Schizosaccharomyces pombe: one gene and its partner. The protein of the gene in region 2 interacts with the protein of the main gene of each other region in a pairwise test. Each region holds a gene or a part of one and is shown on either strand. Other genes may lie near its edges.

Evidence for each region.
Region 1: the proteins of och1 (region 2) and rrn11 interact in a two-hybrid assay, tested with the Schizosaccharomyces pombe proteins (one large-scale study listed by BioGRID).

Annotation. Positions count from the first base shown.
Region 1 is NC_003423.3:1,232,015-1,242,769, reverse strand, and holds rrn11 (RNA polymerase I transcription factor subunit Rrn11), read left to right. Parts: upstream 1-6,288; 5' UTR 6,289-6,402; coding exon 6,403-6,759; exon of another isoform or gene 6,760-6,873; coding exon 6,874-7,119; 3' UTR 7,120-7,265; downstream 7,266-10,755. Other genes in the region: GTPase-activating protein Gyp10, read left to right, coding at 1-946; nit1 (nitrilase superfamily protein), read right to left, coding at 1,536-1,672, 1,730-1,745, 1,806-2,240, 2,291-2,386, 2,439-2,585; GTP-binding protein Nog1, read left to right, coding at 3,594-3,614, 3,670-3,765, 3,855-3,949, 4,170-5,886; MBF transcription factor complex subunit Res1, read right to left, coding at 7,395-9,082, 9,210-9,435. UniProt on the Schizosaccharomyces pombe protein: Subunit of a multiprotein complex essential for the initiation of rDNA transcription by RNA polymerase I. Binding to the DNA template is dependent on the initial binding of other factors.
Region 2 is NC_003424.3:5,074,630-5,085,507, forward strand, and holds och1 (Golgi alpha-1,6-mannosyltransferase Och1), read right to left. Parts: upstream 5,893-10,878; 5' UTR 5,748-5,892; coding exon 4,557-5,747; 3' UTR 3,660-4,556; downstream 1-3,659. Other genes in the region: protein mcp3, read right to left, coding at 507-3,365; RhoGEF for Rho1 Rgf2, read left to right, coding at 6,476-8,978, 9,034-9,455, 9,500-10,051. UniProt on the Schizosaccharomyces pombe protein: Mannosyltransferase involved in outer chain elongation of asparagine-linked oligosaccharides of the type Man(9)GlcNAc(2). May otherwise add the first alpha-1,6-mannose to the Man(8)GlcNAc(2) core oligosaccharide from the ER.

The DNA of each region.
Region 1 (10,755 bases), on a different chromosome or scaffold from region 2:
TCTTTCGAGATCTACTTCTCAGTCTTCTTATGCCGACCAGAATCAGGTTCATTTGGATTCGGAACGATCATTCTTTCAGTACAAGTTGAATCCATTTCTACTTCGTAAACACCGTTCTCAATTGACCAAGCTGCTCAGTGTAGTCTTTAAGCATTATCCGGAACTATGCTACTATCAAGGTCTTCATGATATTGCCCAGATCTTGCTTCTTACCCTTCCTTTCTCTCATGCTCTCCCTTTAATGGAGCATCTAGTATTTTACCGTCTTCGGGACTTTATGCTTCCTACCCTTGATGGCACGGTGAAACAATTGCAGCTAATTTTAGCAGTTATCAAGGCTCGCGATCCCACTCTTTATGAGTATTTAATAAAGGCAGATATCCAGTGTTATTTTGCTCTTTCATGGTTAATCACTTGGTTTGCACACGATGTTTCAGACATTTCGGTGGTATGCAGGTTATTTGACTTCTTCATCTCTTCTCATCCTCTTACCGTCGTGTACACGTGTGCTCAGGTTGTGCTTGATAACCGTACTTCCATTATTGAGCTTTTATGGGATAATTCTGGTGCTGATTTATTGCATAGCTATTTGTGCAAACTTCCGGCGTCTATTAACGTAAATCAACTAATTAAAAATACCTGTGCAACTATATCAGCAGTACCCTTTTCTTCTCTACCCTTGGACCGATACCAAATTTCTCCGTACAGTTGTCTTCGTAATACTGGCGATCCTTGGGAATATATGTCTCGATCCAATGGATTGCTTTTATTTCGACTTCAACTCGCTGAATTGCAGGAAGAAAAACACAAGCCTGGCACCAAGGTTCCTGCTGTTTTTCTTCAAGAAAACATATTCAATGGTTGCAACATGCTTGCGGCCATTACTGTAATAGGCATCGGTATTGTCGCATCTCAACTTATTCCAAAGTCCACATCCAATTCTTAGTATTTTAATCGTTTAATATTACTAATTCATGCAAGATCCTAAATTGAATAGGGTCCTTTAATTTATATTCCAAATACTACTATAATACGGTTATTCTTTCCACGCATGGGAAAGAATGTTCGGGGGGTTTCCGCAGGGACTATATTTTGTTTTTTATTTTAACTTTTTTTCTAATCACAAAACAACACTTTTGAATCAAAGTGATTCTGAAGGTGCAGTCATTAATGATTTTTCATGCTTTATTGTAAGAAGTCTATTTCTTTTTATTTTTTTTAATTTTTCTTCTTTTTGTCTGTGTATTGCACTTTTCCTATATGATGCCTAATCGTTATACATATATAAATTATGCATTAATTAATAAAATAAGTACTTACTTTTTGCATTCCACTTCGATTCTATTATGTTTACTATATCGAGCGCTCAGTAATTTACGGTTTTATGGAATTATTTAATTGTCGCAAATTTATTTTCATAGTATTCAGGCTTTAATCTTGCAAATCCGTAAGTAATAATGAATACTTCGTAAACAAGCCGAAAAAAAATTTTCTCTTTAATTTAAATTGAAATCACCTCAGTTTGTATAACAGTGCTAAATGGTCGGGTATAAATCGTTTCTACGTAATAGTGGAATATAAGTTCGTACATGGTCAACAAGATTCAAATCAAGGTCAGCAAAAATGAGGCCATTCGGAGAAGAGATATCACTGTATTGAGCAATAACAGTACCTAGATGCATTAGAATTTCAAGTTATTTTACCTAATAAAATTGTCAAAATGACATACCCCAAGGGTCAACAATCTAAAAATTTTAATTAGCAAGAATTCTTAAACAGACAGGTGAAACTTGAAGACGACATACCATGGAATGACCATAACTAGCACGCTTCTCGTTATGCTTTCCACCTTGCGCAGGAGCTATAACATAACACTGAGAGTCCAAAGCGCGAGCTCTCAACAGCACTTCCCAATGAGCAGCTCCGGTCTTTTCAGTAAAAGCACTAGGGTATGTGATAATGTGAGCACCCATGTTTCTAAGCTTTATAGCTTGTTCTGGGAAGCGGATGTCAAAACAAATTGCAGAACCAACTTTGCCTAGAGGGGTTTTACAAGGTGGGAGAATAGCTTCACCACGAAGTGTAGTATTCGACTCTTTTAAAGTTGGTCCATTTTTAATTTCAACATCAAAAAGATGAGCTTTGCTGTAACGGCTAATGATTTCACCATGAAGAGGCTCGATAAACAGGCTACTGTTTAGTAGCTTGTTTTTAACCTTAGATGGTTCGTGCACGCATATCTATAAAGACAAGTTTGTTACTATCAAAGTAGTTAAACATTAGTACGTACGTTTACGAAGATTGAATGTTTGGTAGCTGACTCTCGAACGTCCCGAATAAACTTGCTACAGTCAGGATGATTTGTAAGTTCAATAGCCTCATCACTCTGTATGTCAGAGATATTAGTAAAGTTGGTAAAGTATGCAAAAGTGTCGTACATTATGAGCTATAAAGTCAGAAGCCTCAGGGAAGAATATGCATTTCGCACCTTTGGCGGCTGCTTGACTTATCAATTCTTTACATATGGCTAAGTTTTTTAGAATAGAACCACTTGAGTTAAGCTGAGCTACTGCTGCCAATGTCATGATGGTACAAAAATGGATGAATGGGACCCTGCGTTTACAAGGTTTAGTTTGTCGTTGAGTAAAGCTGGCATTGCAATACAAGATGTATTATACTGTCAAAATGATAGGATTTTTGTTAAATAGAGCGAAAGTCGCAAATTTGTGAAAAGTAATGTCTAAAGGAAATTTAAAAAAATGATAAATTATGCTTTATGTAACTATACGATATGTTGATTTAGGCATCAATATGAAGGATGGGCATACAGTATGTTCAATTGAACTATTTCGCTCTCCTAAGAAAGATTCTTTAAGTCATTAACTAAATACTAGAACCAAAGAAAATAGATGCTAACTTTTTCAAATAAAATGCGAACAAAATTATTAAATACATGGAGCCTATCAACAAGTAGGGTATCTTCGAAATTTCCTTTAAAGCTAATAGAATCAAGAAAATGAAAGTGCTATAACATAAGTTCTGCTAATCTACATACATCTACTTCAGTCAACATTCTGTTGTTCAAATCAATCTATGCATTTTATTCTTCGTATTTGCAGTGTAGGAATGTAAATCGTTTTGTTCACAACATGATTTTAAGAAAGTGAAAAAAGTTTAAGTAGCATTCTAATAAATACTGATTTCTTGGATTTTGTTTTATGAAATTTTGCTATCACTTTTCATCCATTCGGACACCAGATCAAACTACCCAATATTCTTGAAAAGAAAATTAAGATTATAATAACGGGATTTTTGAAGTATGAAATGTAGATTAAAACATTGAATAAAATTTGTCACAAACCGTAGATATTCGATTCATAATGCCTGCCTATAAACTTGCTTTGTTTACCTTCTATTGCGTTTCTTTGCGTTATACGATTTATCAATGTCAAACAAAAATTCGTTAACAGAAGGTGACTGTTCTACCTATACGATTCGAACCTTCGTCCATTATCAATGCTAGCTGGATAACTACTGCGTGAACGGTGAAAAATTGTCTTTGACATTTGCCATCTACCAAACTTTTCTACTCCATGGCAACGGCAGTGTTCAAGGTATTTTAATTTCTAAAATTGAAAGTTTGTATCATTCTTATTAACATTGATGCAGAATATTACTCCAATTCCGGATGTGAACACGTTCTTGGACGTGGTCCTTTCTCGGACTCAAAGAAAAACACCTACCGTTATTCGATCAGGGTTTAAGGTATGTAAACATTTTCAGTTCAATTATCGTATTAGAGTGGTTGCATTGGAATTCTAGATTTGCGAATCATCTACTAACGAAAATATTAGATCTCTCGTATTAGAGGTTTTTATGGACGAAAAGTAAAATTTACTCAAGATACAATTACTGAAAAGCTGGATTCGATTTTACAGGAATTCCCTAAGTAAGTATTTGCCAAAGAAATGGATGCCTGCAGTCACTGTTAAAGAATGAGAAATGATGCTTTAACGTGTTTGGTGTGAATTCTTATGTGCACAGTATTCTTAACACTGTGTTACTCCTATTGATTTTTTAAGTGTTTAATTGTGTTGGAATTCTCAGCAGCATCGTGAATCTTTCCTTATTTCCATATCACTATCTATGGTTCACTAACAATTTCTTAGACTTAACGATATTCATCCTTTTCATGCTGACCTTTTGAACATTCTTTACGATCGCGATCACCTTAAAATCGCTCTTTCACAGCTCTCGACAGCCAAACATTTAGTAGAAAATGTCGCTCGTGATTATATCCGTTTGCTCAAGTATGGTGATAGCTTATACCGCTGCAAACAGCTCAAGCGTGCCGCTTTGGGACGCATGGCAACGATCATTAAAAGGCAAAAGTCATCCCTCGAATTTCTTGAGCAAGTCAGACAGCACTTGTCTCGTTTGCCAGCAATTGATCCAAATACACGAACCTTATTGGTTTGCGGCTATCCCAACGTTGGTAAATCCTCATTCATGAACAAGGTTACTCGTGCTCAAGTTGATGTTCAGCCTTATGCTTTTACCACTAAATCTCTATTTGTCGGTCATTTTGATTATAAATATTTGAGATGGCAAGTGATTGATACTCCTGGTATTCTGGACCACCCTTTAGAGCAAATGAACACCATTGAAATGCAATCTATTACTGCAATGGCTCATCTTCGATCTGCGGTTTTATATTTCATGGATCTCTCGGAAATGTGCGGTTACAGTGTTGCTGCACAGGTTAAATTATATCATAGCATTAAACCCCTTTTTGCCAACAAGGTTACTATTTTGGTTCTCAACAAGATTGACGCCATGAGGCCTGAGGATTTGGATCAAAAAAATCAAGAGCTTCTTCAAACCATCATTGACGACGGTAATGTTAAGGTGGTTCAAACTAGCTGTGTTCAAGATATCGGTGTTATGGATGTACGTACTACCGCTTGTGAAGCCCTTTTGGCTGCTCGTGTCGAACAAAAACTTAAGGGCTCAAGGGTTAACAATGTTCTTAATCGCATTCATCTTGCTGAGCCTGCTGCTCGTGATGAGGTTGCACGACCAGCTTGCATTCCTGATTCTGTTAAAACTCGCCGTGCATATGATGCAAATGATCCAAATCGCCGTATACTTGCTCGTGATATTGAAGCTGCAAACGGAGGTGCTGGTGTCTATAATGTTGAATTGCGTGACAAGTATATTCTTCAAGACCCTAGCTGGAAATATGACCGTATGCCTGAATTATTGGACGGTAAGAATGTGGCTGATTTCGTTGATCCTGAAATTGAAGCGAAGTTATTAGCCTTGGACGAAGAAGAAGAACGTCTTGAGCGTGAAGGATATTATGATTCTGACCAAGAAATTGAGGATGCCGATGAGGAAGAGGTTCTTGAAAAAGCAAGTAGAATTCGTGAGAAAAACAAGCTGACTATGTTGGCTGCTCGCCAGAAGAAAATTAAAAATCGTCCTGTACTTCCCCGTACCGCTGGCATTCGTACTTTAGACGAACTACAATCTTCCTTACAATCTGCTGGGCTTCCCTCAGATTCTATTGAAGAGCGGGCACGCTCCCGTGCACGTACTGCAGCAGCAAACGAAATGGCTGATGGTTCAGGTGTTGACTTGTTAATGAATGAAGGTGAAGAAATTCGCTCTAAATCTATTGCCCCACGTTCACAAAGCAACCGTCGCGAATCTGGTGTTCACGCAGAAGGTGCCAGATCTTACGCTGATCGCCTGGCTCGTGTCAAACAGATACACCGTAACCGCATGGCCAGGGCTTCTGAAAGTGATCGACATGTTATTGCTGCCAAGCCTAAACATTTGCTTAGCGGTAAACGTGGTAACGGTAAAACTCAAAGAAGGTAGAATAATGGTTTTGGACTTGGGGTTCTTTTTTTATATAAAACTTTAATATTTGGTTGGTTATTTGGGTTTGGATAATATGGGTGGACTTGCAAGACTTTCTACCTACATCCCTTTTTGTTTCTTCACATAAATTACTTTTGTTGGAGGATGTTGTCCATTAGGAAAGAAATTTAATATATTTCAAAGCTTTTGCTTAATGTACTTTCAGTTGACAATTGAAGCAGTTAATTATGTAGCCGTGCATAACAACACCTGTAGTTTTTGGCTGTAAATTTTATGCTGAGTAAATAGATGAAAGTAAAAAGAATGAGTAATTAAAATCTAAAGTTAATCAATAGCTAAGGTTGATCGTTGTTGAACAGAGAGGCAACTGTCGTGCTCAAGTGCTAACTGCTTTAAGATGCCAAAAACCATACCCTTGCAATTAGCAAAATAATGCTAGATTAAAAGGTTATAGTTAGATCAACTATGCTTTGTTTAAATAAGTAATACTTATAGCTTGATTCTGTTATAATCATGTTCTCTCCTTGTACCGTTAAAGAAAAACGTTCAACTTTGCGAAGTGTCGCTCCCAACCCGGAATCTTCTGTTATACCTCCAATTCCTTTACCATCAAGAAGGTATAAAACAAGACATATTGATGCACTTTGTTCGTTGATGCACCTTTGCTTATTGCGCAAAGATTACCCAAGGGCATCTAGGGCTTTTTCATTACTGTTGAGATCTAAGAGTGTTGACATTTCCAAATTATGGAACATTGGACTTGAAATTTTGAACAAAGTTAATCCAGAAGCTTCATCAGAGTATATGGAGCGACTAATAGCTCGATATCCTGCGCGTCCATCCATTAACAACTCTTATCCGAATCGTAATGTAAGTGTATACTGGTACAAAACGTCTATACTTTCATCTTTTCGTGTATTGAATTTTTTGTCCCTTCTTATTTGAAATCAATCATATGTCGCAATTCTATACTAACATTTACAGGCAGAACATTTTTTTCCAGCATATATCATGCTACTTATTCAGCGCCAAGAATACAATAAAGCTATGAAGTTGCTTGATGAGTATTTGCTGTTACCACCCTACAATCAGAATCCTGCATTGCATGAGTATTCCGGAATGTTGTGTTTTGAACTTGCCAAGGAGGAAGCTTCAGAATCTGAGCGAACTAAATGGATTGAAAAGGCGAAATACAACTTTTCAAACGCAGGAATTGACGTCGAATTGTAGATTTAACATTCCCATGGCATTTCAAAAAGCACATTAGTATATTTAATATTTTAGATTGACCATCAGAAAAATTATGTATATTAGCAAATAATAAGATGGGAAGATACATTTAAATTTAAATTTAAAACTAATCATTAGATAGCCAACGACTGTATAAAAAGATTGTTAAATATCTATAAGTTCAAGTTGGTATTTATATAAAAAACATAAAGAATGCAAAAAATAAGATAACGAAAGAAAAAATTATTTTGAATAATAATTTAAAACCAAAAAAATTAAGATCCACTTTGATCTGTATTAATCGTATTATACATTCCCATAGAAAGCAAGTTCAAAATTTCGTTAATTTTCTGTTTCCGTTGCGCTTGCAATGAGCATAATTGCTCAACGAGCTTTTCACGAGCAGCTTCGTTTTCAGCTGTAAAAAGATCAACTTCGTGTTTTGAGCTTAAAGACGAACGGTTCGTTTTAGTATCATGACCAACAAGGTTTTTGGTCTCCGAGATATCAGCTAACTCATCAGTACTCCATATTTGAGAAAAGTAAGTTACGTATTTTTTTAATTGATGAAGCTGAACTGTTTCAAGGTAATATCTAGCAGTTTTCAATGTATGCAGAAATTTTTTACACTGGTGAATCAAATCCTCCCGCTGATTTACCAAGTAGTTCTCGTCATTATTGGTACGTTCATTCCATAATCTTTGGCAAGTTTCAGTTTCCCGAACTGTTTGCTCCAACGCCTCCATTGCCAAATTATAGGTTAGTTGTTTTTCAGCAAGAGATGCTTCATGGCATTTTGAAAGTTCGCTCAGCTGAGTGAAGACATTGGGAAGGGTTTGGTGAGTAAGTTTATTAGAAAAGTAAGAAATAGGTTTTTTGGACGATAAGTGGTCATCAAGTGATTGCGGATATTTTAAGTTATCTATCAAATTATCCTCGATTTTGGAATTTAAGGGGGAATCATCATTTTCGGGAAAAGACATGTCTTTCGAAGACAAAAAATCTGTTGGGTATTGGCCCTGATTATTTGGTATGGAGGATGATGCATAAAAGGATAATAATAATCTCGCGCATTTCTTTGCACCATTTCTAGCGCAGATCAAAAGAGCGGTATCCCCATGATCATCCTGAAGGTTTATAATTTGGGCAGCGACATCAACGGATTGTGTTGCAGTTAAATTTTGCAATAAGATATCCATATAATAACGAGCGGCTTCCATCTTTGATTTAGAAGAAGCTAATAATGCGATGTGGTGAAAGACGGTTTGGCCAAAAGAGTCGTTCATGCAGATAGCAGATTGAAGCAACTCCGAAACTACCTCAAAAGTCTGTAAATCATAGTTCATGGTAAACATTACACAGCGCATCAAAGATGTTTGTTGAAGGTAATTGACAGCAACTACGTTGGCGCCTGCTTGCAATAGTGCATGCATCATTTCCAAATTTCCCATTGCAGCAGCCCAATGAAGTGCTGTATGACCATCCTCATCAATGCCAGCATTAACATCCCAATCTGATGGCCGATCATATACGAAATCAGGAGGTTGTGTAGTATTTGGTAATAAAAAGTAATCCAAGAGAGACTGCGCATAATTGTTTGAAGAAAACGGAGAAGCTTTGATATCGTGCAAAGATCCCGTAAAGGAATCAGAAGGCATATCGGGAGAGCGCGTGAAATCAGATTGAAGAGACAAAGCATCATGGATTCCTGACATTCTAGAAGTAGATGTCATATTATTGGAAGATGTGTAAGGGTAGAGTAAAGAATGCGAAGGCCGGGAAAATGACTTTTTTACTGGACTGTTTCGTCGATATGCTTCTGTAGGCTTACGATTGCTCTGAGGAGTGAACGTAGACATTGGCATGAACGCAGAGCCAGAGTATTCAATCAGAGGTTGTATTAAATCAAAAACATTATATTCATGAGCAAGTTCAACAGCTCTTTCAGAGGGTACCCAAGTTCCTGAATGAATAGTTAGTAACAGGCATCCAAAAAAGTATAAATTGATAAATAAAAACAACAGAGACAAAAATTTTATGTTATTTAAGTAGTTTTAAACCTATTGATATAGTAAGAAGTTAACACAAACCTTGATATTTTCCACAACCACCTTGAATTTTTTCATGAAGTCCCTTTTGAGCGAATTTCTCCAGAATCCTTGTCCTCCTGGGTTTATCGAGCTCTGCAATTTTAAGGATTTGCGTGGCATTAAGCCAGTTATCATGACAACGTTTCATTAAAGGAAAGCCATTGATCGTATACTCAAATACTTCCACTCCTGAATAGGTGATTTTATGTATTTGGTCGTTATACATAACGGCACTATTGGCAAGCAATTTAAAAAAAAGGAAGGAAGGAAGAGCTTCAAAACTTGATGCAATAACAACGTTTCGTCTCTCTAAATGTTTGTAATAATTTAATGTCTCAACTCCACAGCGCCAGCTATTAATATCATATAAAAAAAAAAACGAAGCAAATGAGAAAGAAGAAGCAAATTGAAATTTCCTCTACAAAATATCGATAGTTTTTGAAAACCGAGTATTTATAGCAGATAAAGTCGGAAATACATATGATACTAACTGCATGCACTAAAGAAAGGATATATTCTCTCAGCGGCGTTTGCCTCAAAGATTTTTTCAATTAAAAAGTATTTAACTCTATGTTTTGAGTTAAAAACAGATGTTTTTAAAGACCTCTGCTATCCCTAAAAATCCACGTATCTTACCAGCTGATGTAAGATACTCAACTACCAAGAACTTTAATATGTAAGGACAGAAACCTTTCGAAACTTTCCAGATCACGATTTGTATAATTTAAATCAAAAAGCTGTAGATTTGGGTTTATCGACTACGGAGCCGATTTAGTCCGGATTTTTTCAACAGCGAGATCTCAGAAAAATCGAAAAACACTGCTTCTTACTCACCAAAAAAATCCCTAAAATCACAGTAAAGTGCTTCAGGAAATGCGGATCCTTTTTTTGATAAAAAGGAAATTTGCTTGCTTTTTTAAGATCTCACACAAACAGAACTAAATCTTTCACCCTCTCTTATGGTGAGTTAGTGGTAAACGATAAATACTTGAAGGTTACATATTAGTAACTCAATTATTGTACCATTCGATTCCACTATGTTAAACCAATTGTATTACATAAATGATAAAGAATTTCATTGTTCAACTCGAGTTTTTCTAATAAACCATTTTTATTTATAGACTGCAGTGACTACTTATTCAAATTCACATTGAATATGAGAATAAAAACATTCCAAAATTTCTTAACATTTTCTTGTCATAATAAAAAGTTAATCACCAGGCTTCTGTTTAAAGGTTTTACCATTATTTAATATTTGGTATTTCAAACACAGAGCATAAATACCCGTCGCAGAATTGAAAAATAAAATCCTAAATTTTTTATAATTGCCCATTATATGCGTCTTTCGAACGTAAATAATCATCACTAAAAACCAAATCCTACAAATTTTTACAAAAATAATACACAAATACCATTTTGTGAAACATTAATTATCCCTCAACTCAATATTTTGGTAGCTTCATTCCTAACTGTCATCTTGGAAAGATTCGAATAACACAAAAGAAGAAACAAACACAAAAAAAACAGATTCACGGAACTAATCAAA
Region 2 (10,878 bases):
TGCAATAAAAGTTCGGGTATCCGTTTATGATGTTTTAGCACGAAAGCCGACTATTGACAGTAACACTGGTAATAGCTCTTTTTACTAAAAACCCTCATCGAAAAGGTAGTTCCGTATCTGATTACAAGGCCGATCGTGCAAAAATACTAAAGACCGAGGAATATGTAATCGTGCAGTTTTATAACATACTCTTCCGTTGCTTAAGTTATTAATCTGAATTTAGTCTGTTTAATCCGTTACATGAAAAATTTAGCCTTTCAGGAGCTTGAAGAAATGATTTAAGATCAAAACGCTTTCATGTAATCACCTAACAAAAATGCTAGATTTTGTTATTATTTATTATTGAAATTCCCCCATAAACCTCGAAATTTTAAGACCGGTCAAGTTATCATTTGAGGCTAACAGGCGGCCTTCAAGCATTTAAAACGAAAGACCGTATTCATAGATTATTTATTGGTAATCTCAATGAGGCTAGTACCTTTGATCTGTTACTACTTGCGAACATACTATTTGTCTCCAAATGTTTGCTGTAGTGTATGCTCGCGCTCCCTCAATCGTTCAGAAAGTTCAAAGCAATGCAATTTCAATTCAGAGTTTACTTTTTCCAATTTTCGAACTCGCTTTGTTTCTCTCATCAACTGCTCTTGAAAAACTGACCGCAGTGACTTTTCGGATTTTGCGTTCTTACCTGGCATAAACTCCTCACAAGGAATTTGTTTTTCTTCTAAGAAGATTTCCTTGTAAGCTTCAAGTTCTAAAATAACTTTTTCAAGATCTTCTTGCTTCATCTGAAGTTCATTTGCTAACATGCGTTTGGATTCGGCCAAATAAGTATACGCATTTTCCAATGAATCGTATACCATCCCCTCCTTGAAGTGCAGTTCAGGTACTACAGCATTATTCTGTAAGTCAATGTTCAATGACTCATCCTTTTGGACAACAATATTTCTCACGTCAACATTTTCTCCCAATAATTTTCTGTTTTTATCCATATCGCGCAGAGCTATGTCTGACATCTCTTTAAATACGGAAACTTTCTCACCAGATGGGGACTTAGTGATTGAGATTTTTGTGTTGTTGGAAATAGAAGATGAATCATTAAAGCTTTTGACTAATTTACTAACCCTTCCTGAGATAGAAGTATTATTTTCGCTTTCTTGCCCTAGTTGCTCAAAGTCTGAACAAGAAGGTGATCTGCAATCAGTATTTACACCGATAAGCTTATCTTCAAGTAACGACTGAAGAGTAATTTTATAATTCCTTAACTCGATTTCCTTCGTTTGGTATTCTTGATCCTTTTGTACAAACTTTTTTGTTATATAAGTCAGCTCATCAGAAAGTGTATGTTCATCAAGATCTTCAAGCTTTGTAGATGGATTAATTCCAGCTTGAGAGCATACGTTTTTGTAAACAATGAACAAAAGATTAAATATTGAAATTCCTTTTCGTACACTTTCGGAAATTTGGGATTCGGTAGCATTAGATGAATCACTTTTAGCGAACGATGGCTCGACAAGCTGTAAAAAAGAATAGAGGTGCTCTTTTTTATTAATAAATGATTGATAAGAGTTTAACAAACTGGCTAATTTGGATTCACTTAACTCCAATTGCTGCTTCAATATCTCATTCTCCTTATTCGCGGTTTCCAGGTGTGCTCTACCTTCAGAAAGTTTGGAGTTTACTGAATTTAACTCTGCATTCTTTTCAGAAATCTCACACTGTAAACTATTGTTAGTTTGACTTAAAGTCTCCAAACTGTCATGGAGCTTCTCAATAGTTAGCTCTTGATCCCTGATTTGGCTTTTTAAAAATGCAGAGCGCCCGATTTCATCGTCAAGATTTCCCTTAGTGTTTTTTAAATCCTTCTGTAATCCATCCCGTTCATCAGTCAAACTAAAGACCGTGTCAAATTGAGAGAGTTGCTCATCCTTTAGGCATTTCATTTCTTCATCAAGTCTCAAAACCTTACTTGATTCCACTTCAAGATTGTTCTTTAATTCATTAAGTTCTTCCATAAGATATTCATTTTTTCGAAATACATTCTCCATATCCTTTATTGACGACTGTATTTGTTCTTGATAAAGTAGATCCCTTTGTTCACTAACAGAAGACTGAAACTCCAATAAGCCTGCTTTTTCTCTAAGACTTTCGGAAAGTCTTGAAATTTTTAATTCTTTTGCTCGAAAATCATCATCATAATGACTAATTAATGCCTCCTTGTTGTTTAACTTTTGACGCGCTTCTTTCATCTCGGTTTCATAATTGGCGTTCATTTCTCTCAGATTTTTTTCATCATTTTTAACAGTTTCTAGAGCTTCTTGCAATGACTGATTTCTTTCTAGCAACGCTTTGATTTGATCCTGTAACTTCTCGGTTTCAAGTTTTAAATCCCTGTTTTGGGTTTGAATTTCATTAATAGAATTTTGAGCTATAGAAAGCTTTTCTTCATAACTGATAGTTTTATTTTCGGCTTGTTTCAAATTTGACGCTACTATACTTAGAGATTTCTGCAACAACTGACGCGCGGCTTCACTGTTAAACTTGTCTTCCAATGCGTTGTTATGCTTGGACACAAGGCACACATACTTGTCGTTCATAATAGAAGAATGAAGTTTGAGCTCCTCAACAAGAGAACATAAATAGGCAATTCGTTTCAGAGATGTGTCACTCCAATCACTATTCGATGACTCCATATCTTTTAGAACATCAGGTAATTCATAATCGCCAAATAAGAATTTCCATGTTTTTTCTAACGAATGGCATCGTCGTAGTTGAATTTCTGTGTTTAGTTGCCTTGCTTGAAAGGAAAAGTTTACTTGAAGCATAACATTGTGCACTTGAAGTAGTTCAGTCAAAGTAGCAAAAGATTTAAATCGAGAAAGTAATTGAGAAAATGTTTGGTTATCTAAAGAAAATTTATAAAGCGTCAAAGTGAAATTATGGCCATCAGCCAGTGAACTGAAATATTTTTTTGCATTAGTAGTAACATTTGGTAGATTTTGGCACAATAGAAGTATAAGTTTAAGCTGAACTGATTCAATCCCAACGTGTTCTTCGTTGCATATGCATTTGATAATTTTTCTACTGCAATAAAAGCAAGTATCCCGCCGAGAAACTTGTAAATCTTTCTCTTCTCTAGCGCTGGAAGCATGATAAGCATTTGGTGATTTTGTTAAAGTTACATCTGCAGTGGTTGATTGATTATTCCCTTCCGATTTAACTAAGAGTTTAAAACTGTTTAAAAGATAATAGGAAGGACTCTTTAGCTTGAAATTCAAAAGTTGACGCGCTTGAGTTGAGAGCAAAGAAACAGGAAATATCCCGTTATGCGTACGCAAATGATTTTCGTGAGTTTCTTTAGTCATTAAGTATTTAATCAAATAAGTTAGGCTTTTCTAAAATATAATTTTGAGCAAGCAATCTACCAATTGTAAGATTTATCAACGATGCTTCTAATTCGAAGATGTAAATCCTGCACTTATAGAAAAGAAATAACGGAAAAAAGAAATACTTTTAACATCAATTAGGAAAAGCATTAAACCTTCAGGTTGTAAATGCACTCAACAATCGTGTTTGTGACAGTGGGAAATGGAGGTAAATAAACACTACAATAACTTCTTATATGGGTGTTTAATGTTCTAAGGTATTCAAAGCAAGGGCGTTAGCATAGCTTTAAAAGATAATAGTAAGTTTATTCAATTATTGAAACACTTTTCAGTCTATTTATTTATAATAAAAATAATGTATAGTTGAAGCTGTAAAGTGATGAACTTTGTCGGTCCAAAGTAAACAAATATTATAGAATACAGCGCTAATACTACTAGCAAAATAAAGTCACCTTCTGAAAAAAAATGTAGTTGCAAAGAAAGAGAGACAAACCTCAAAAATTTAATGAAGAAATATGAGGTCCTTTAATCCCAAGAAGCATTCATGCAAGTCTAAAGACATAAAGTAATTACAAAGCCGAAACAGGTTTATCATTCATCTTCAAATCTTAGGCATAATCTCTGTACTACTTTGATAATTCACCTAAGTATACAGAAACGCTTTGGGGTCAATATACCATCACAAAAGAGAAAAAAATTGAAAAAGACTGATTGTGATCAGCGCAAAAGTTTTATAAAATTATTGAAAGAAACAAACAGCTTTAGAATTCAAAACAGTTTACAAGGGAAAATATTATAGTGCTGAGCTATAAAACGCGTTGATGAAAGCGCTGAAAAAAAAAAAAAAAAGAAAGTTGATCATCAGGACATAAGCATTGGCTTCATATAATTCAATAATGTCACCAATATTGCCAACTTGATTGGCTAACGTACAAAATACATGCAAAATTAATCGTAAAGAGATGTAGAATTATGAGGGAAAGATTAAATCAACCACGAAAGAAACTTTTTTGTTTGCGCAAGCTATAATTTACAAAAATTGCTCGAACACAACCCGTAACAGTTTCCAAACCAGATCAAATGCGTGTATTTAGTATTATCGAATTGCCCGGTTCGAACACTTTAAGCACATTATACCAAGAAATGACCACCCACCCACATTTCAAACGATCAATCATCTTTCCATGAACCGGCAAAGAAATGTTGAACATACGCCATCGGATCATTTGGAGACTTGCTACCCATGTGACCGACACCAGGACTAAATGCAGTTATGGGTAGGATTAAAACATCTCCAACAAGATAAGGTTCTTCTAAATTGGTGATATTCTCAACCGAGAAAGGGCCATACTGCCAATTTAAATAATCCATAATGGCATCGGTCCAAATACCTGGACCAGTCCACTCCATTACTGACTCGCCATTTTTCGAAAGCTTCTTTGAATCATGCAGCTTCCAAGTTTCATCGGTAATTCTACGAACAAGTTCCCAAAGAATTGGATGGCCTGGTGCAGCAGCTATGGTCCACTGACAGAATTGTACACGCCTGGCATAGTAGTCGTTCCAATCAGGGCGGTCGGGATCTGCTTCAATGCCAACGATCAGTCGAATATTACGCTTACGATATTCACGAGGGATCCAATTGTTTATATGCTTCAATGGTGCCGTATCAATGTCGCTATAAATACCACCTTTTGCCAATAACACTAGATACCGAAAGAAATCGGCCTTCAGAACAGGCAGAGGCATCATTGCATACGCTTGTGAAATCTTGGAAACTGATGAATCGCCAAAGCTACTGATGACCAATGCTTTAGACTGCTCATCGTCTAAAACAGCATGAGAATAACTGGGATGGTTGATTCTCCAAAACCGAGTGTACTTCATAACCTCTCTATCAAAAGGGTCCTTGGAAGTTTGCCATATTAACTTGGGAATGTCAGCGTGATAAGGCACCTCAAATTCATAAGTATCTTTAGGAACGATCATGTGTACAGCTTCATTTTCTTCGTCAAAATCTTGAAGCTGTGAAAAGGAGTACCGTAGATGAAGTTTATAATTATTTTCTTCATCAAGTTCTTCCAAGCTGTGTTCCAGCTCTTCCCTCTCCAAATCGCTCAAGTAAGCTTCCAAATCTGGATCTTCTTCTTCTTCAATGTAAGACGGTTGATCATACAAAAGTTCCTCCTCCTCCTGTTGACCAACATAATCTTTATTAGCGGCTTCCGGAGTGTAATCCTCCAACATCGAAATCTCTGTCAAATCTTCCATTCCTTCTATGCTACCATGATTGAATAACAACAGTATGGATCCCGCTATCGCAGCTCCTATTACAATACTTCTCAATCGGAGTCTCAACATGCTGAACTCGTTATATGCTAATGCTCAATGTATCAATTAATTACTTAGTTCGTTAACAAAGACTCATTAATGTGTACTTAATGCAGCTAGGATACAGATTTTGCGGTTTTTCATAGAATCGCAGCAAAACACAGGTGGGCGCTCTGGCTGAGTTTGCGCAGATGCTCTTACTTTAACTTCGCACAAGCGACCCGAAAATCGAAGGGCTTTAATGTGATATTACTCTATAATAGCAACAGCCACACTTGATTGCGGTACCGTGCGTAATATCAGTCCAAGTATTGTCGGCTGTAGTTAACGGTGTGTGTTAGGTGTATGTACACAATAACAGAAAAAGGTTACCCAAAGCACCACCCATAATATAGAAGTGTAAGCAGCGATCCACTTCAAATCCGTTCTTTTGAGTATCCAAGCTGTTTGAATAATTGGAAAGCCGGAGAATTGGCATTAATATACGTACTCCGGCTTCTCGTGTATAATAAGAGGAATTTGGTGAAGTTTCCATGTTCAAATAAGACGACTTGTCTTGTAGAACCTTTTATTGTTGAAAGTAATTGGAGCGTTAAAAAAAAAGGTACTACTTGAATTTGAAAAATATCTTTCTTCTCTTTCTGTTGTTGTGTCGGTACGGACGATTGGTATCAGAAAAGCCCCTTTGCATAGCGCCGTTTTTCTAAAACTTGCGATACCTCGAGAGGGTAGTAAAATTAGAATCAACAAACAAGAAAATGCTTCGCAATGGAGCTCAGAATGGAAATATAAACTCTGAGTCTCATGAATCGTTTGGTAAAGCAGCTAAAGGATTTCGTATTTTTTCATCATTTAGCAGTAGCCAAAAACTGTTCCAAAGAAGGAGTTCTGGCTCTATCACACATTCTCCTACCGCTTTATCATCTACCACATCCCTTAATGAAAATGATGGCAATCATTTTCGTCCTGCATCGAGCCTTAGCTTTTCTCCCTCTTCGCTATCCAGAAAAGATTCGGGTCCTGGAGATGGCTTAGAAGTTAATAAAAAAAATAATTTTTATCGCCGTTCTTCCTCCACAGATGATTTTGGCATTTCTCATGCACGTAGTAGGAAAGAAATACAATCGCTCGGTAGACCCCATACTCGCCAGTCGTTTTCCGTCTCTGATGTATCTAATGGCAGTTCTTATCCTAACATTCGAAAAAATAGCGTCCATGTTAATGCACCCATGCCATCTTTTCCTGAAGGATCAACTGCCGTCTTACTTAAGCATCACTCAGGCTCCAAGTCTGCATCTGCGATTTCGAACATCGCCCCTTCGCATTCCAATTCTACCTCATCTCGTCGCCCTTATATACATCCGGCTTTTCTTTCTCAAGTCGCCGTTGAGTTCCGAAAGCGTCTTAACATCGGTGACCGTGTGAAGGATGGTCTTCTTTATAAAGATGCCTTTCTTGGATCGGAAGCTGTCGATGTATTGATGCATATAGTTCGGACGACTGACAGGAATTTGGCGTTACTTTTAGGAAGAGCCCTGGATTCGCAAAAGATGTTTCATGACGTTACTTACTCTCATAGACTTCGCGACTCGCTCAAGGAAGTTTACCAGTACCGACGTATCATTTCTCCTCCTCCTGGTCTCTCCTCGATGGATTCCAATGGATCGTCGATCGAAAATAACTTTCTCTACACAAAAAGAAGAGCGAACACGTCTGATTCATTTGACTCTGTTTTATCTGATTCTTCTACGACACCTACCATCTCCTCGTCTGTACAGGTAAATTCTTTAGCTTTCATCACCTCATCCCTAAGCGCAATTACTAAGGAGCCTGAAGCTCCTGAAACCGAATACAATCCTCATGGAGTGTTTACTCTTTTAACGGAATGCTACTCCTCTACATGTTCTCGTAATCGCCTTTGCTATTCTATATCTTGCCCACGTCGACTAGAGCAGCAGGCCCGTCTCCATTTGAAGGTCCAACCTGTATTAAGTGGGGGATCAACTTCGATTACAGATAAACAAGAGGAAGATCATCGTTTATGGTCGGAAAATGTTCCTAAGCAAGTTGTAGACCAGATCGATGTCCGTGAATGGAAAAGACAGGAAATCATTTTTGAGGTTATTTACACAGAACGGGACTTCGTCAGAGACCTAGAGTATATACGTGACTTTTGGATTAAGCCTCTTTCAACCTCAAATGTAATACCAGAAAACAACCGACAACAATTTATACGTTGCGTTTTTCATAATATCATGCAAATCCATGCTGTCAATTCTCGTTTGTCAAATGCTCTAAACCGTACTCAAACTCTGCAACCTGTAGTTAACACAATTGGTGATCTTTTCTTAGATTATGTTCCTAAATTTGAGCCTTTTATAAAATATGGTGCCAATCAGGCTATTGCCAAGTTTGAATTTGAGCGTGAAAAAAGTACGAATAGGAATTTTGCGAATTATGTTCATGAAGTGGAAAGATTACGAGAGTCTAGAAAACTAGAACTTAATGGTTATTTGACCAAGCCTACGACTCGCCTTGCGAGGTATCCGCTACTATTAAGTGGAGTTCTTAAGTACACTGATAAAGATAATCCTGATACGGAAAACATTCCTCGTGTAATCGAAATGATTCGTGAATTTCTTACTAAGCTTAACTATGAAACAGGGAAGACTGAAAATAGACTCTCGTTGTTACAGTTAAACGAACAGCTTTCCTGCAGCCCTGCGGATCGAGCAAAATTAACATTGTTTGATCCATCTCGCTTATTGATTTTCAAAGGCGTCGTCAAGCTAAAAGCCAGTAGTTATTCGAATGGGGACACTGAAAACGACATTCACATGTTTTTACTGGACAATTTTCTCTTGTTGTGTAAGATAAAGATTCAAATGAAAAGAAGAGTTCATAAACTGCATCTCAGGCCATTACCTTTAGAATTGTTGTCGATTTCTTACATCGAAGACTCGCCATCGAGAGGTAGCCTTCCGCGTCGACCATCTTCTGCTTTGTTAACTAATCCAATTTCAATTACAAAAAGTAATCCACCTCCTGTTAAAGCATACGGTTTGCAGTTAGTATTTATTGGAGCCCGTGGTTTTTCTATAAGTCTTTATCTCAATACACTGATTGCTAGAGACCAATGGAAACAACACATTGAGAAACAGCAAGATATCATTCGAAAGCGTCATTTGGTATTTGAAAGTCGAGGCATATGTTGTCAGTCCTGGTTTACCGGCAACAAGTTATTATGTGCCGTTGCCTATGGTAAGTATAATAAACAATATGTTAAAGAAGTAAATGTTTGTTAACAGCTCTTTAGATGCGGGCCGTAAATTACTATTTGGAACTTACAAGGGACTATATATCTCTTCTCGAAAAAGTAATAATGGCAGTTGTCTTGAACCCATTTTCAAGCTGCAATTACCAAATATCTCTCAACTAGATGTAATTGAGGAACATAACGTTCTATTGCTTTTAGCCGAGAAGATTTTGTACGAGTTACCTCTGGACGCTCTTGATTCAGTAGAACAAATTAATTCAAAGTCTTTGCGACGTGTAACAGGTCATGTTAGTTTCGTCAAAACAGGTTTTTGTATGCAAAGAATTTTAGTCTGTGCGGTAAAGTCCACCGTTTTAAATACTACATTGAGGATTTATGAGGCTGATCGTGCCTTGAAGAACAAAAAGACCCAGTCTCTAAAAAAGCCTTTTGGCAATCAAGCAACTTTGAAAATATTTACTGTGAGTTACCTCGTCGTTCTTTCTCTATACTAACATTTTTTTAGGAGGTACAAATGCCGATGGAAGCTTTGTCCGTTCACTTTCTCAAGACAAAGCTTTGTGTGGGAAGTTTTAAGGGATTCGATATTATAAGTTTGGAAAATGCCGTATTCCAATCTTTGTTAAATCCTGCTGATACTTCATTTAGATTTTTAGAAAAGAGGGAAGATATTCGACCGATTGCCATGTTTCGCTTAAGAGGAGAATTTCTCCTCTGTTATTCAGATTTTGCATTCTTTGTTAATACGAATGGCTGGAAATCTAGGCAATCCTGGATGATTAATTGGGAGGGCCAACCTCAAGGTTGCGCTTTGTGTTATCCATATATCCTGGCATTTGAGCCGGACTTCATTGAAATTAGGAATGCCGAAACAGCCGAACTCGTTCAAATCATAATGGGACAAAACATTAAACTTTTAACTGATGGCCGAGGGTTAATTAGTGAAGGAGGTGAAATACTTTACAGCACTGAGCCAATTCCATTTTCATCTGGAGAAAATCCTATAGTTCATTCTTTAATACTTCCTCCAGCAAATGCAGCAGGTCCTGCACTTTAGATCGTTTATGACAGTACTGTCAACATTTGTGCGAACTTCTCCTTGAGCATTTTGGAATACTATTTACTACTCCGGACATCTTTTGCATGCCACATCAATTGATTATAATATATGCTATTACAATCTAAGCTTCAAGAATCTATGACCCTGCTTCATCTCTTTAAGGAATAACTTTAAAAATTCCTACGTACATATATTTACTATGGTTGAGATAATGCTATTGACGATTGTGTGTTTTATTAAACGAATTGTGTCTTTTTCAATTTGCTCAACATTGCACGCTGTTTTTGTTACGAATCATTCTTTTTCCATAGATTTATTATGCATTTCTTTAGTCAACTAATAAACAACCTCTCTGCATTCAGCATATTCATTCATTATCTTTTATTGTGATTGTTTAAAATACTCATGTGTAATCGATAACTTTTCATACTATTGAAGATAACATGAACAGTGTTACAATAATAAAAAATGCTTTTATATGCATTCCAAACTCCTTAACATTTTTTATGTTTTAGCATTCACCAAATATTACCACGTAAAATACACTTTTTCGCAACGAGTTGCTTATCTGTATTAAACAGCATTAACGCAGGCTTCGATAGAGTGTGCAGGAGTTTATCGCCACGTTCAGTAGGGTTTTTCTTGCTACATCATTTTTTAGAAGACATCTAAAATCTTAAAAGTAAAGTGTGTACATAAATGTTTTTATAATTTTTTTAAATAGATTTTTCAGTAAAAGTCTGTGTATTTAAAGTACTAAAATAATCAGGAATTATTACAATTTTTCAGGTGTGTGACTGTGTGTTAGAGAAAATATTTATTAC